2 linked regions of the Callithrix jacchus genome follow. The protein of the gene in region 2 purifies or fractionates together with the protein of the main gene of each other region. This does not show direct contact. Links are inferred from orthologs where the notes say so. Each region holds a gene or a part of one and is shown on either strand. Other genes may lie near its edges. The genes, in order: KRR1 and ZNF346.

What was found.
Region 1: the proteins of ZNF346 (region 2) and KRR1 purify together in Homo sapiens (affinity purification with mass spectrometry; 3 studies listed by BioGRID and IntAct, with this or other methods). This does not show direct contact. The link is inferred for Callithrix jacchus from reciprocal best matches to the Homo sapiens genes ZNF346 and KRR1.

What each region holds. Positions count from the first base shown.
Region 1 is NC_133510.1:78,157,042-78,165,311, forward strand, and holds the start of KRR1 (KRR1 small subunit processome component homolog), read right to left. Parts: upstream 4,660-8,270; 5' UTR 4,624-4,659; coding exon 4,539-4,623; intron 1,251-4,538; coding exon 1,078-1,250; intron 317-1,077; coding exon 182-316; intron 6-181; coding exon 1-5. UniProt on the Homo sapiens protein: Part of the small subunit (SSU) processome, first precursor of the small eukaryotic ribosomal subunit.
Region 2 is NC_133503.1:69,076,783-69,083,671, forward strand, and holds the end of ZNF346 (zinc finger protein 346), read right to left. Parts: intron 6,384-6,889; coding exon 6,290-6,383; intron 5,698-6,289; coding exon 5,672-5,697; intron 5,371-5,671; coding exon of another isoform or gene 5,328-5,370; exon of another isoform or gene 5,280-5,327; intron 3,757-5,279; coding exon 3,629-3,756; 3' UTR 2,293-3,628; downstream 1-2,292.

The sequences.
Region 1 (8,270 bases), on a different chromosome or scaffold from region 2:
ACTGCCTTTTGGGGGAAAAAAAAAAAGTCATTTTTTACAATCACATTTATTTTCCAAGCCCACACTAACATTATCTAAGCACAAACATGAAAACTTGATAGTGGAAGGGAGGGAGGAAAAGATGGGATGCTATAGGTTTACCCTGATGCAAATAAAGCAAAGTCTCTACTTCTAGATTTACCTGTTCAAATGAAACACTCCTTGCTAACAGTCTTATCAGATCTCTGGCCCTGATGATGATATATGGATCAAAAGTCTTCTTTGTAGTACAAACAGTCATACTGCCCTCAATCAGGTCCAGGGTTGCATTAACATGCTACAAAAAGAAGAACAAACACTCAGTTGTCTAAAAATGAGTTTATTTTAGATAATTATAAAGCCTATCCCAACCAACCTATTAATTTCTGTCACCTCTCAATTTCTATCAATTACTTCCTTGAAGAAGCTAGGTAATTAAGCATAAATAATGAATACTCGATTACTTTCATACTTAATGAACTATAAGAAACTGGAGCAATTGAAACCATTTACACTTGGTTTTAGAATACTTTGTAAGCATTGAATATAGATTGCCTCTAATTTTAAAATTATAAATCGACCAAATGAGGCCATACTTAAAATCTGACTAAAGTAAAAATGTAAAGCTGTATAGCTTCCCTATTTTGGACCCAACTCCAGTCTACCATCTGCTCTATTAGTAAGAATTGACTTTCCCTTTCAAACTTTTTCTAGCTGATTATCAGACTAAATACAAATCAAAAGCAAATTCTGATAGGTTCAGAAAAAAGCAATGATTAGAAAACTTAAAGCATCAACTTTCAATCAGAAAAAACATTTCAATAAAGCAAATTAAAATGCTATTTTCTCACTTGTGAGCATAATCTCAAGAATATTTCAACATAAAATTAAAAACAAATGATCATTAGGTAGAAAGACTTACCTAAATTATTTAAAATACCAAAGGAACCAAAGGAACCTGCTATGTTAGCACTATTTAAAAAAATACATCAGCATACATACACTTACTTAAAAGTAACGACATAAGCAAAAGCAAAGTCTAAAATAAGATACACATACATGTTCAATTAAGGCTTTCTGCACCAATGGCCAACACTCTTTCAAGTAAGCTTCTCTGTATTTGGGGAACAAAGTTGCAAAACTGCTCTCCTCCAAGAGTCCTCTGGGATTGTCCTCTTTGGAAAAAGCTGGTTCCTTCCAACCATCAGGAACAGTAAGGAGTTCTGATTCATCTATAGAAAGGAAAACAGTTACACATCACATTTTAACTGTCTTTTGGACACTTTATGCACATATTCACAAGCCTTCTAAATACTCCTTACATTTCCTCTTCCCCTGCTTTTTATATTACTTAAGAGTCAAAGAACATTCCTGTCATCATCAACTCACTATATTAAAATTATCTGTACACATTTCAGCTGCCTCAGAAGACAGAGTTCCTTAAAAACAGAAACCCTCTTCTCTCTAGTTGGCATATGCCAAGCAGATAGTGAGTATTCAAGAAACACATACTTCATCATGAAGATTTGAATGCCATTTTGTCTATTACTTTAAATACAATTAATCTTTCTGACTTTCCTGGAGTGGATGGAACCTGGGTGTGTGTGTGTGTGTGTAAGACTTCCGAAAGAGGATTCTAGTTTATACTTTCAGTTAATAATCACTGGTGGCCGGGTGCGGTGGCTCAAGCCTGTAATCCCAGCACTTTGGGAGGCCGAGGAGGTCAAGAGATCAAGACCATCCTGGTCAACATGGCGAAACCGCGTCTCTACTAAAAATACAAAAAAATTAGCTGGGCATGGTGGCACGTGCCTGTAATCCCAGCTACTCAGGAGGCTGAGGCAGGAGAATTGTCTGAACCCGGAGGCGGAGGTTGCGGTGAGCCAAGATCATCATGGCACTCCAGCCTGGATAACAAGAGTGAAACTCCATCTCAAAAAAAAAATCACTGATAATTCTAGGTTTTCCTAAGTGTTTTCAGTGCCTTATTTCCATATGCCTTTCATCATAACTATAGAAGTTAGAACGAATCTGTATTATTATTACCATTTTATAGAAGACAGTCTGAAAGGCTAAGTGACTTGCCTAAGCGAACACAAAGCTGACTCAGCCTGGGACTCCTTTCACTAAAAGAAAATGCCTCCTAAGGGTCATAAATTATCTCCTGAATCATTGATTTTTAAAAGTCCTGGTCCTGAATTTTAAGAACCCCTGAAATTCAACAGCTATACTCTAATTCAGTTATACTCAAAGGTATGATCTACAGACTTGCAGTATCAGCATAAACTCTAAGTCTGTAAGAAATGCAATTCTTGGGCCCCACCCCAGACCTACTGAATCACAATTTCTGGGATGAGGGACAGAAGTCTGTTTTACCATGCTCAACAGGAGACTCTGAAGTACAGTAAGTCTGAAAAGCAGGTCATTAGTCTATTTATCAACCTCAAACAGCTTAACTTTCTGCATATACTCACATCCACTTAGCTATTTCTGGTTCAAATCACAGACAATTGGCTAGTCTTCATATACCATTCACTCTCCAATATCCTTTAAAGAACTCATTCTACAAAAGTGACTTATATTTAGTGTGTGTGTGTGTGTGTGTGTGTGTGTGTGTGTGTATTCTGGAGACAGGGCCTGACTCTGTCACCCAGCCTAGACCTCTTGGACTCAAGCAATCTGATCCTCTTGCCTCAGCCTCATAACTAGCTGGTTCTACAGGCATGTGCCTCCATGCCCAGCTAATTTTTGTATATATATATATATTTTTTTGTAGAGAAATGGTTTGCCATGCTGCCCAGGCTGGTCTCTTGGGCTCAAGCAATCCGCCCACCTCAGCTTTCCAAAGTGCTGGGATTACAGGCATGAGCCACTGCAACTAGTTACTTACAATGCTTACCTGACCAAGTCCCTATCCAATTTAAAATCTTCAAAGGCTATGTATCAGTTTTTTTTAAAACTCCCCACTCCAAAATCAGAAAAAAACTGACAAATGAAATAAACAGGAAGTTTCACAATTAAGAAAGTACAATTAGCCCCCAAACACGTGAAAAGATATGCAACCTCACAGGTGATCACAAAATGCAAATTAAAACTACAACCAGATACCATTTCATACCTACCAAAATTAGAGAAATTCAAAATTCGGATAATATCACGTATTCGTACGAATGGAAGGCAATGAGAACTTTCATTCACTGCTAGTAGGGACAAAACTGACACAACCCCTTTGGAAAAAAAAGTTAGCATTACTTACACACAACCTACACTTCAGTGATTGCAATCCTATGTTCATAACCTAGAGAAACCCTTGCTAACCAGAAGACATGTACCACGATGTTTTAGCAGTATTGTTTATAATTGTAAGCAATGTGAACAATCCAAATGTCCACCAACGGTAAAATGAAAAAATAAATTGGGGTATATTCATTCAAGGAAACACCATGTAACAGTGAAAAGACTAAAACTACACCTACGGGTATTACCCTGTTTGAAAAACAGAAAGCTAAACCTTAGAAGACACAGAAAAATGCATACAGTCCACTTTGATGTATAAAATTGAAAATGACGCAAAATTAAGCCACTTCGTGACTACAAGAAGAGGAAAAGAAAATAATACAATTCAGAGTGGTTACTTCTGAATCTGGAAAAGAGAATATGATCTGAGAGGTGTACATAAGGGTTTGAGGGGTATAGTAATGCTTGCTCTATTCTACTTAGTAGTCTGAATGCTAGGTTCTTGCATGTTTTTATTATTTAAACTGTATATAAGTTGTAACCTCTGCTATTTACATTACATAACCACTTAATGAGCCACAACAAAAAAACCTTTACTACTTTCCCAATGTATCTAAATTGAGAGTTCGATGTTTTTAACACTTCCTATAGCCTGGTTGAGCAGGTCCCCAGGCTATTTCTCTGACTATCTCTGTCACTCATACTGAAGAAAATGGGTAAAACCAGACTATAACGCAGGAGTTAATTGAAAGGTAGCACAATCTAAAGAGTAAGAACTGTGTCGTCTAATATTTTAGCAATATGACACAGGAATAATTGATAAATCTATTAAAATTTCTTTACTGACAAACTAAAGCTAAGGGCATGTCAGCTCCTTTCCCCACATCTCACTCCATTATCAGGGTCCACACCTGTATGTCATGACTACCTATTTCCACCTCACCCTATTTCTCATTCCGTCAGTGACTTTCGGCCACCCGCGCGCTACCAGGTTCCGCAGCGCCCTGGACATTTTCTCAACCCTCATCCTTTTACAGAATACGCATTCCGCAAGAGCTTCGCTTGGGGGACCCTTCAGCAAAAGAAATAGTTAGGAACACGTGGGTGACACCATATCGGCTAGTCGTTCCGGTGGGCCCGGCTAACAATCTTAATCATCAGCAATTCCGGTACTTAACTACAAAGAACAGGCTCCAGGTGGTTTTATAAGTCAACAAACAACGAAAGAAACATCGCAACTCAACGTCCACAAACCCCAGGCTTCGGTTCCCACATAACATCACCTTGGTTATCCGGCTTCAGCTTCTGGTTACGAAATTCACTTTTTCCAGCAGCTTTTTCTGGCCGCTCCAGCGAGGAAGACGCCATTTTAAAGCTGCTTCCGGTGGCGCCGGATGTGTAACTGTTTTTAAGTCCTACGTGCTAAAATACCCACACTCAAAATGAGTTCCTCGGAACTCAGACGAGGAGACCTGCGCAGTCTCCGTGCGTACGTGCGTTAAGGCCCGCGTTTTTGCCCAACCCACAGCTTCTCCTACTTGGCCAATTGAAGAGCCGGAAACCTTCTCCCAGGATGCACTGCAACCATGGAGTTTGCGTACTGGGAATTGTAGTTTAGCAAGCGGTGCAGGCAAATTGGATAGTAATCCGTAGTTTCCTCGGCCTCACGTTGTAACCTGGACCACCGGACTGCGGAGTGCTACCAGGCTGTCATGGAAGTCGTTTATTCTTTTGATGAATATTTAGATGATGGCCAAATATGCACTAGATATCGGGAGGAAATAAAAATACGAGAATATAATTTATATGGGTCTCACTGCAGGAAGTGACAGGAATAGCTACTATTTATTGTGAAAAATATGTTGGCTTTACAAGAGGAAATAGTACCTATATATACTTACTAAAAATTAAAATTGACAGTCAAATTAAATGAGAACAATATTTCAACAATTTGCTTAGACTATGTTTTAAGCAATTTCGAAGAAAACTTTTAAAAATAAATATGGTATGGAATAAATAAATTCGACTAGTTCTAAGAATTAAACATTGCAATCAATATTACATATGAAAGTTTTAAACTTTTAAAACCTCTAAACAATAGTTTCCACGTGTGAGAACTGTGTGCTCTAGATTCCTTTTTTTGGAAAAGGACAGATGATCTAATTTCAACATCTTTCAAAAATGCATTAGAATTGAAAGAACGATTTCAAATAAATATTGACTAATAACTAAATATCATATTTATTGAATACATATTGAAAATAAATATTGAAAAATCTCTTAAAATCATCTTAGAAGACTAGAAACTCAATAGTGATGATCAAAATGATGGTGTCCAAATTTTCATCTCAATTTCAGTGACTCACTGATTCAAAATAATAATTTAAAATTTAAAATGATGAGAAATAGTGTAAGAAAAATAAAAGATATAATAGAGATGGGGAAAATATTCACAAAACATTTAATGGGTTGATTACAATAATATTCAAGGTGATAAAAAGATGTAAGCAATTCAATAGAAAAATAAGGAAAACATATTAGTAGATATTTGTGATGGTTAATTTTTATTGTCAACTTCACTGGGTAATGTTATCCAGATATTTGATCGAACATTTTTATGGATGTTTCTGTGGGAGTGCTTTTGGATGAGATTAACATTCAAATCAGTGAACTCTGAGTAAGGCAGATTTTCCTCTATACTGTGGGTAATCCTCATCCAATCAATTGAAGACCTGAATAGAAAAAAAAGACTGACCTCCCCTGAGAAAGAAGAATTATGCAGCACAAGTCCCTTGGACTTGAATTTCAGCATTGTCTTATCTCTGAGTCTCCAGACTGCCAGCCTACCCTGCAGATTTTTTACGTACCAGCCTCCATAAATGTGGGAGCCAATTTTTAAAATAAATAAAAATAAAACACACACACACACACACACACACACACACACACTTAACTGGTTTTGTTTTTCTGGAGGGCCCAAATACAACAATTTTTAGTGGAGCAAATCCAAATGAGTGAAAAACATATAATGTTCAACCTCACTACTGTCTACAAAGTATACAGACTTAACAATGGAATATACTTCTCACCCACCAGATTGAAAAAAAAAGAAAAGAATAAATATATATTTAAAAAATAATACTGCTAGAGGAAAGAACACTCATACACTGCTGGTGCAAATGTAAACTGTTACTGCCTTTTTGCAGAGCAATTTAGCCATATAAATACACATATGTTTCTGCAATAATTCTAAGCCAGATAAACTATTGAGTAGAAATAAAGGACCATTCAATTTAAGTGTTTGTACAATAGTGTTGATTACTACCTTCGATAGAAGTAGTTCAGTGAAATATACTTTGGAGCCATACTGACTAGTTTGCCACCTACTGGCTGTATAACCTTGGGCAAGTTTCTTACCCACGCCTGCTCAGTTTCCTAAAACGGGGACAATAGCCTAACCCTTCAGTAGTTTAACACACGTAAAGTGAAAAAAAAAAAAAAAACCACTTAGCATATGATAAACACTCAATAGGGGATAGCTATTATTGTTTACATTGGCAAAACGTAAAAGCATTTCAACTATCAATTAGAGATATAGTTAAATAAATTGCTGTTACCTTCATAGCCATGAACTATTATACAACCATTTATAATAATTAATTAAATCTATATAAAAAATTACATAGAATATTGAGCAATAAAAGCCAGATACATAAACATATATATACACATACACATACACATACACACACATTATATGCATATATAATATGATTCCACTTTTCTAAGACAACTCATTCAACAAATATTTATTGAGCACCTATAATGTTCAAGACACTGTTCTAAATATTTGGTTATATTCCATGTGCTGAGCATAATATATGATTATATGAATTTGTATGTGATTGTACAATGAACAAGAATTGGGATGGATACACGTTAAGCTTTTAAGACTGGCTAACTTAGAGATGAAAGTGATTAGAAAAGAAGATGAAACTAGGCAAAAAGACAAAAGAAGATGTCCATGATAAAATAGCATGTATAATATGATCCTATTTACATAAAACTGTCTCTGTGTGTGTGTGTGCGCACGTGCGCACCTGCATGAAAAGATGTTCATCAAAATGTTGACTATGTTATGTTACCTCTCAGTATAGAGACAATTCAAAGTATGGCGATTCAATAGCAATACGATTGTAAGTCAATCACAATATACATCATTTTTCTTTACCATCTTTGGAAATCTGAACATAAATATGTAAACAAATAGAATATGTACTCAAATGACACTAAAAGGGGAAAGAAAAATTGACATCTCTAAAGGGTTTCTTGACACAAATCTAGACTAGATTGGGAAAGTCCTTGAGTCTCAGCCCTTTTTTATTTTTTATTTTTCAAGACGGAGTCTCACTCTATTGATATTGCTGGAGGGCAGTGGCATGATCTTGGCTCACTGCAATCTCTGCATCCCAGGTTCAAGCAATTCTGCCTCAGCCTCCCGAGAAGCTGGACTACAGGTGCCCACCATCATGCCCAGCTAATTTTTGTATTTTTAGTAGAGATGCGGTTTTGCCATATGGGCCATGCTAGTCTTGAACTCTTGATCTCAGGTGAGCTACTCACCTCAGCATTCCAAAGTGCTGGGATTACAGGCAGGCCCTTTTAAGCCCTTTTTGATTGTTACTTCTCCCTATTTTGACTTTTTTTTTTTTTTTTTTTTTTTTTTGAGGCAGAGTCTTGCTTTGTCATCCAGGCTGGAGTGCAGTGGCACGATCTCAGCTCACTGCCATCTCTGCCTCCCGGTTCAAGCAATTCTCTGCCTCAGCTTCCCGAGTACCTGGGATTACAGGCACCCGCCACCATGCCCACTAATTTTTGTATTTTTAGTAGAGACGGGGTTTCACCATCTTGACCAGACTGGTCTTGAACTTCTGACCTCATGATCCACTCGCCTCAGCTTCCCAAAGAGTTGGGATTACAGGCGTGAGCCACTGCACCCGGCCTCTTTGTCCTTT
Region 2 (6,889 bases):
AGTCTAATACACTGGGAATGAGACAAAATTATGAGAAAAAAGGAGGGACTTGGAATATGAACACTGAGCCTTGATCCATCTGTTTTGTGGCTGCTCACCCTGTAAGACCACGGCACTAGCAGGAGACTGGTGAGGCAGGCTGCAGGGGCCTTGACTCTGGTCCTCACTTGTAAAGGGTTCTAAGAGCAAGTCTAGAGAACCAGATTCTATTCTCCATTCTGTCACTTCTTAGAGGCAGGACCTTGGGCAAATCATGACACCTCTTTTAGCCTTGTTCCTTCTATGACTTTTATTTATTTGTAGAGATGGGATTTCACCATGTTGACCAGGATGGTCTTGAACTCCTAGCGTCTTGTGATCCACCTGCCTCGGCCTCCCAGTCCTGGGATTACAGGTGTGAGCTACCCCACCTGGCCTCCTATATATGGAGTATCAACTCTTAGCTCAAAGGTTGTTATACAGATCAAATACTAGTTTCCCAATCTCTCCAGCTTTTTTACACCCTTGGCTGAATCAGCTCGTGCATCCTGGGCATTATCATTGTCATAATGATCTTTAACCATGTGTGAACCCCCGAGGGCAAGAAAATTTTCATCTCTAGGACCCCTTACCAACAAGGCTGGCCACACAACTGGTAGGGACTCACCCCCCTATCCTTCATTCCCTTGCTTAGTAGATGGGGCTGAATTTGGCATACTGGGTGGCTTAGAAGAACTCTGGGGGAAATTGCTGAGGCAGTCTGATCTTGGGAAGCTGAATGCTGCGAACCTCCCCTGGAGCTGGGTAGAGACTTTCACAACTGACCAGAAGCAGGGGCTGAGTGGTGCTGAATGGGAGCTGAGGCTGCCTGGGCCCTTTCCTCAAACTTGGCTGCAAAGGATGGGACAAAGAGCTCCTGAGGCCATAACATTCTTCTTTTTAAATTTTAAAAATTATTATTTTTAGAGATGGAGTCTTGCTCTGTTGCCCAGATTAGAGTACACTGGCATAATCATAGTTCACTGCAGCCTTGAATTCCTGGGTTCAAGCAATCCTCCTGCCTCACCCTTTTAGGTAGCTAGGACTACGGGAATGCACCACCACACCCAGCTATCTTCTTTTAAAATTTATTTTTATACTTTTTTTTTTTTGAGACAGAGTCTCCCTTTGTCACCCAGGCTACAGTTTAGTGGTGTGATCTTGGCTTACTGTAACCTCTGCCTCCCAGATTAAAGTGATTCTCCCTCAGCCTCCTGAGTAGCTGGGATTACAGGTGTATGCCACCATGCCCAGCTAATTTTTGTATGTTTAGTAGAGATGGGATTTCACCATGTTGGTCATGCTGGTCTCAAACTACTGACCTCATGATCCACCCACCTCGGCCTCCCAAAGTGCTGGGATTACAGGTGTGAGTCACGCGCCCAGCTATACTTTTTTTTTTTTTAAGACGGGGTTTCACCATGTTGGTCAGGCTGGTCTTAAACTCTTGACCTCAGGTGATCCACCTGCCTTGGCCTCCAAAATGCTTGGATTACAGGCGTGAGCCACCATGCCTGGCCACTTTTTTTTTTTTTGAGATGGACTCTTGTTATGTTGCCCTGGCTGGAGTGAGGTGGTTATTCACAGGCATGATCCTAGCATACTACAGGCTGGAACTCTTGGATTTGAATGGTCTTTCTGCCTTAGCCTCCTGAGCAGTTGGGACTATAGGTGCATGCCACCACAACTGGCCATAACATTCCTTCTCAGCTCATTTTTGGGTCGTGGAAAATGCTCTTTCAAGAATCACCAGGCCTATGATAAGTCCCATGAAACAAACCTATCACTGCGTAAGATCTGAGCGGGGAAAAAAACATCTCTCCTCATACAACTCATTCATTCAATAAAACTTCATGACACACCACTATGGACATCAGAAAGTAGAGATAAATAAGGCTGGGTCTCTGCCCTGAGTGATGAGCCTGGAAAGCCATACTGGACACAGTTTCCATACTGGCCTCCCGGTCTCCTTTCCTGACCCCACTGTATTCTCTTACATAACAGTCAGAATAATTCGCTCAAACACAAAGCAGATCCCCAGCTTAAACCTGTTAAAGACCTTCTCGTGAGGCCCTATGTGACAGGAGAGGCAGGAAAAGGTGGATGAGATGAGGCTATATTGAGTTCAGGGCACCTTGGAGACTTTCACAGGGTGCCTGACTCTGTCCCAACTCCTAAAATGACTACTGAGGACCTGGGGGTCTGAGTCGGGTAGGGGTTAGGGGTCAAGACAGACATACTAGATCTAACAGTAATACAGCTCAAAACCCTAGATTTGTTAAGTTGCAGTCTGACTCATGGGAGTAATTCTTTATTTGGACGCTTCAGTGATCAAGAGACAGAGCATTAAGCACACACATCCACACACATCCACACACACACACATCCACACACAATATGCAAAGCAAAGGCATTTCACAGGTAAAGGGATAGGGAGTGGGGGAAGGAGGCCACGAGAGCAGCTAGGGGCTTCTTTGACACAGTGAAGAGAAGCCTCTGATGGTGACACTCCTCAGAATTCTTGCTTCAAAGCTACAAGGAAAAATCTATCTCTGTGGAGTCAGTCCCAGGCCATAAAACACAGCAAAGATAGATAAATCTGGGTGTGGGGCCTGGGGAACATCTATCTGTTCCTCACTGTAGAAACCTGCATCAGCTCTCCATTTCTTTCTCTGGAAACCAAAAATCACCTGGTGGATGATGGGGAAGGCTAGCACCACAGCAACCTGGGCAAGGTGGTCTGCTGCACAAGGGGAAACAAAGGGTTAATAGGGCCAAGGGTAGCAATGAACCTCATGGCTGGCTGGCATGAGGCAGTTTGCCTTTAGGAGCAGAACCCTCAGGGAGACTTGCATGTGGGTCGCTTTCCCATGTGATGTTGGGTCAGAGCACCTCTGATGGAGGAGGGGAAAGGTCCCATCCCCATTGGAGTGTCCCATGATCCCAGTGGACATAGAGGCCTCCCCCAGCCCCAGCTTGTTGCCAGGTGCTATAGATCCTTAGCACCATTCAGGAACTGTGGAGCAGGGCAGGAGGAGTAGCAATGCTCCACCAAGACTGTGTCATTGCTCCAGGAGGACACTTTACAGTTGGCAGAAACCTGCACAACTGGCCATATCTTGTCTAAGGCTCAGGAAAGCCTTCACTTTGTGGGGGAAGGCGGAGTGTTGTATTAGCTCCAAGCTCCCATGTAGAAGTGATTTCCTCTGTTTCCTGCCCTGGCCCAGGTTTGGTATAAAAGTTCCAGGTTTCACTGGAAATGTCTAGGGCCCAGGGAGATCTCTGTTCTTTAGTTGCAGGAACTGGCCCAAAACTGACCTTCAGAGGAAAGACAGGTGGCTAGGGCCTCAGCACCTATGGCCCAGAGGGGTTGGGGAAGAGGGAAAGCCATCCTCCAAACTACCACCCGGTGAGACCACAAGTTTCTCAATACCCCTGACTCCCCTATCATGACCTACAGGACCCCTGCCAAAGGGGAGCAACAGGAGTGAATTAGCCTGGACCAATCAGAGGTTGTTTGTGGCCCAATCCTGCCTCAGGCCTGTGTATTTTCCTGGTGAGAACAAGGAGTGAGAGGGAGCCAAGGGCTGAGTAGTCACAGGAAGCTGGCTCATGGCTGGCCCAACATGGGACACTGGGCAGAAACACCTCTAGTCTTCCAAGGTGGTTGAGTCTTTCTGAATGGGTTGCCTTTGCATTGGAATCTGGCCCAGGGATGATGCCACTGTTTTTGGTAACCTGTATTTGAGAAAGAACAAAGGAACAGGGTCAGTGTGTGGCAGCTGTACTGGCTTATTGCAATGATAGCAGTGCCTTTCTAGGGTCTTGGAGTAATAGACAAGGCAGCTTTCCTTCACTGAGGTCCACTGTGGGCTGGCAGAATGCCGGATGCTTAGCTTCAGTCATTCCATCCTCATGGCAATTCTGCAAGGTGAGAACAACACCTTCATCTTACATACAAGGAAATTAAAGTTCAGAAAGTTGAAGTGGCTAGCCCAAAGTATGATTTGTTTTGTTTTGTTTTAGATGGATTTCACTCGTTGCCCAGGCTGGAGTGCAATGGCATGATCTTGGCTCACCACAACCTCTGCCTCCCAGGTTCAAGTGATTCTCCTGCCTCAGTCTCCTGAGTAGCTGGGATTACGGGCATGAGCCACCACACCCGGCCCAAAGTATGTTTTTAAGCGGTAGATTTAGGACTGTAGCCCATGCCTTTTCACTATACCAAACCACTGCCTACAGGGTGTATGAGTGAATGAGTTTGTATAAACTCATTCCATTTGGTAGTGGCAGAATAAAATGAATGGGCTTCAGAGTAAAACAGGCTTGAATCCTAGGTCTAACTCCAAGTAACTAAGTGACCTTGGGCAAGTTAATTAACCTATCTGATACTTAGGGTTTCTTTGGTTGTAAAAGGTGGGGTTGGGAGGGGGTATCCTAATTTCAGACCTCTTGGTGAGAATTTCATGAGACTGACTCAGGTGTTCAACAAACCATAGCTTTATCTTTACAGAAGAATTAGAGACTTTTAAAAATTTTGAGACAGGATCTCACTCAGTCACCCAGGCTGGAGTACAGTGGTGCCATTGTAGCTCACTATCGCCTCAAATTTCTGGGCTCAAGCTCTTCTCCCACTTCACCCTTTCAAGTAGTCAGGACTACAGGTGTATGTTGCCACACCTGGCTAACTTTATTTTTTGTAGACAGGGTGTCACTACATTGCCCATGCTGGGAGAATTAGAGGCTTATTGACTTGCCCAAGGTCATAGAGCTGGAAAGTTTAGCAAGAGAAGAGTGAACAACACTAGCACTTTCAGGTATGGATAGCCCCAGGGCAGGGCTCTGGGTTGGCTCCAGTTTGTCTATTGTAACTGCTATCAACCAAACTGCAAGGGAGGTATGCATGCTGAAACACTGCGTGAGCTCCAGGCTGAGTTGCTGGGGCTTGTCTCAAGGCTATCCTTCAAGAGTTCCCCAAAGTAAAAAAAATATCCACAGGTAAAGAGGATGATCTACAGTGTGAGAAAGGAGACTCCAGGCAGAGTAGAGAGAACTAAGGACATTTTCTTATACCAACACCCTGCATTTCCATCACCTTTAAAATCATTCAGCTCAATGAGCAAAGCAAAACAAATGACCAAAGTCAAAGCAATTATTTCAGCAGACCTGCCCGCCTGAAACTCAGTTTCCTTGTTTGTAAAATGGGGATTCTGCTACCCATCTTAGAAGGTTATGCTGGGGCCAGCTGCAGTGGCTCACACCTGTAATCCCAGCACTTTGGGAGGCTGAGGCAGGCAGATCACTTGAGGTCAAGTTTGAGACCAGCCTGGCCAAGATGGTGAAACCCCTTCCCTATAAAAAAAACAAAAACAAAAACCAAGGTTATGTTGTGGCACATTGCTCATAACACATATTTCCCTTCAGAGAGGAAGGGACAGAACCATGTAGACCCTCCAGGCCAGGTCCTATCCTCTTCATATCAATGGTGCCATAACCTACTTCTGAGCCTGACACCTTGGGAGGAGCATGCTGTGAGCCAGACAGGCTTCAATTTGAATCATGACCCTGCTTCACATCACCACTTACAATGCTGGTTGTTTCTATGTATAAAATTGGAATAATTATCTGTTCCTCTCAGGGTTGGAAGGATTACCTGAGAAAATCTGCTGGATGTACAGCCTGCAATAGAAGAGGGGCACAATGACTGTTAGTCATTTTCAAGATTACCATGAACCTGTTTACCTGGTTCCTTCAAAACCCTTATCACAAGCTGCAGTTACTGGTTGTTTACTTGTATAGCCTCCCATCAGGTTGTAAGGTTATGAGAGCAGTCTGGGTCTGTCTAGACCACCATTCAGAAGATGCTCAACAAATACGTGATTAATGAATGAGAGGGCCTGATCATATCTGATAATGACCTATAGAGGGAACTCTTGCCAGCAAAGGGTAGGCTCTCCAGGCTAGTGGAAAAACACTTCCTCAGTCAGAGTGCTACAGACCAGGAAAGCCAGATGTTCTTAAGGTTCTATCAAAGAAATCATGTATGCTTCTCTATTAAAACCTTGAGCCCAGCAGGTCCAAAGGCTGGGCAGAAGCTGGTGGAGAAATATGTATAGAGGAGAAACTTGTTCCTGTTAGATGATTCATCTTCTGTTCACTGAGAAAAGGCTGCTAGGATTCCGTTTCAGCCAAGAACTACCTGGCTTTGTTCTGACACAGAAGTCCTGAGCTCCTACTATAGATCCTAGAATTTCAAAAAATGGTTACTTACTGGTTCTTGTGTTTGAAGCCACTGACATGAGCTTGGTACTGTTCTATGGAGTTCAGCACTATCTTACACGTTTTGCAGGGGTAGCCCTTTCCAGCTGAAACACATCAAAATCAAGATCTTAGTTATCCAGTAAGAAGGAACCTGAAGACTGTACAATTGCCCTTCTGAGGACTGACAGGTGAGGCGAGGTGAGGTTGCTGGCCCTGATGAGAACCCAGAGGTCAGAGGGCTCAGGAGGCACAGACTGTGTGCCTATGCGCTTCCTGGGGTTGGGAACATCCTAATTCCTGTGTTCCGAGTCCCAGCATAGAGCCTAGCCCAGACTAGCTATCTGCTGAGTGATAAAAGAATGACAGAACAAAGAGGTGACATTTGGTGTAACTGTCTTTTCTACCTTGACCGTGCTAAGTGGCCTCATTAAGGATGCCCTTCACTGAGTGATCTCTGGGAAGGTGCCACTCTCCTAGGGCTTGCAATAACAGTAATTAATGAGAACGCTGGTTATGAAAATCAATCTGTCTTTCTACCTTGGAATTCACAGAACACTCTCTCACTCTACTCCAATGACAAAGTGGCTTTTCCCACATGGACTAGTAGTCA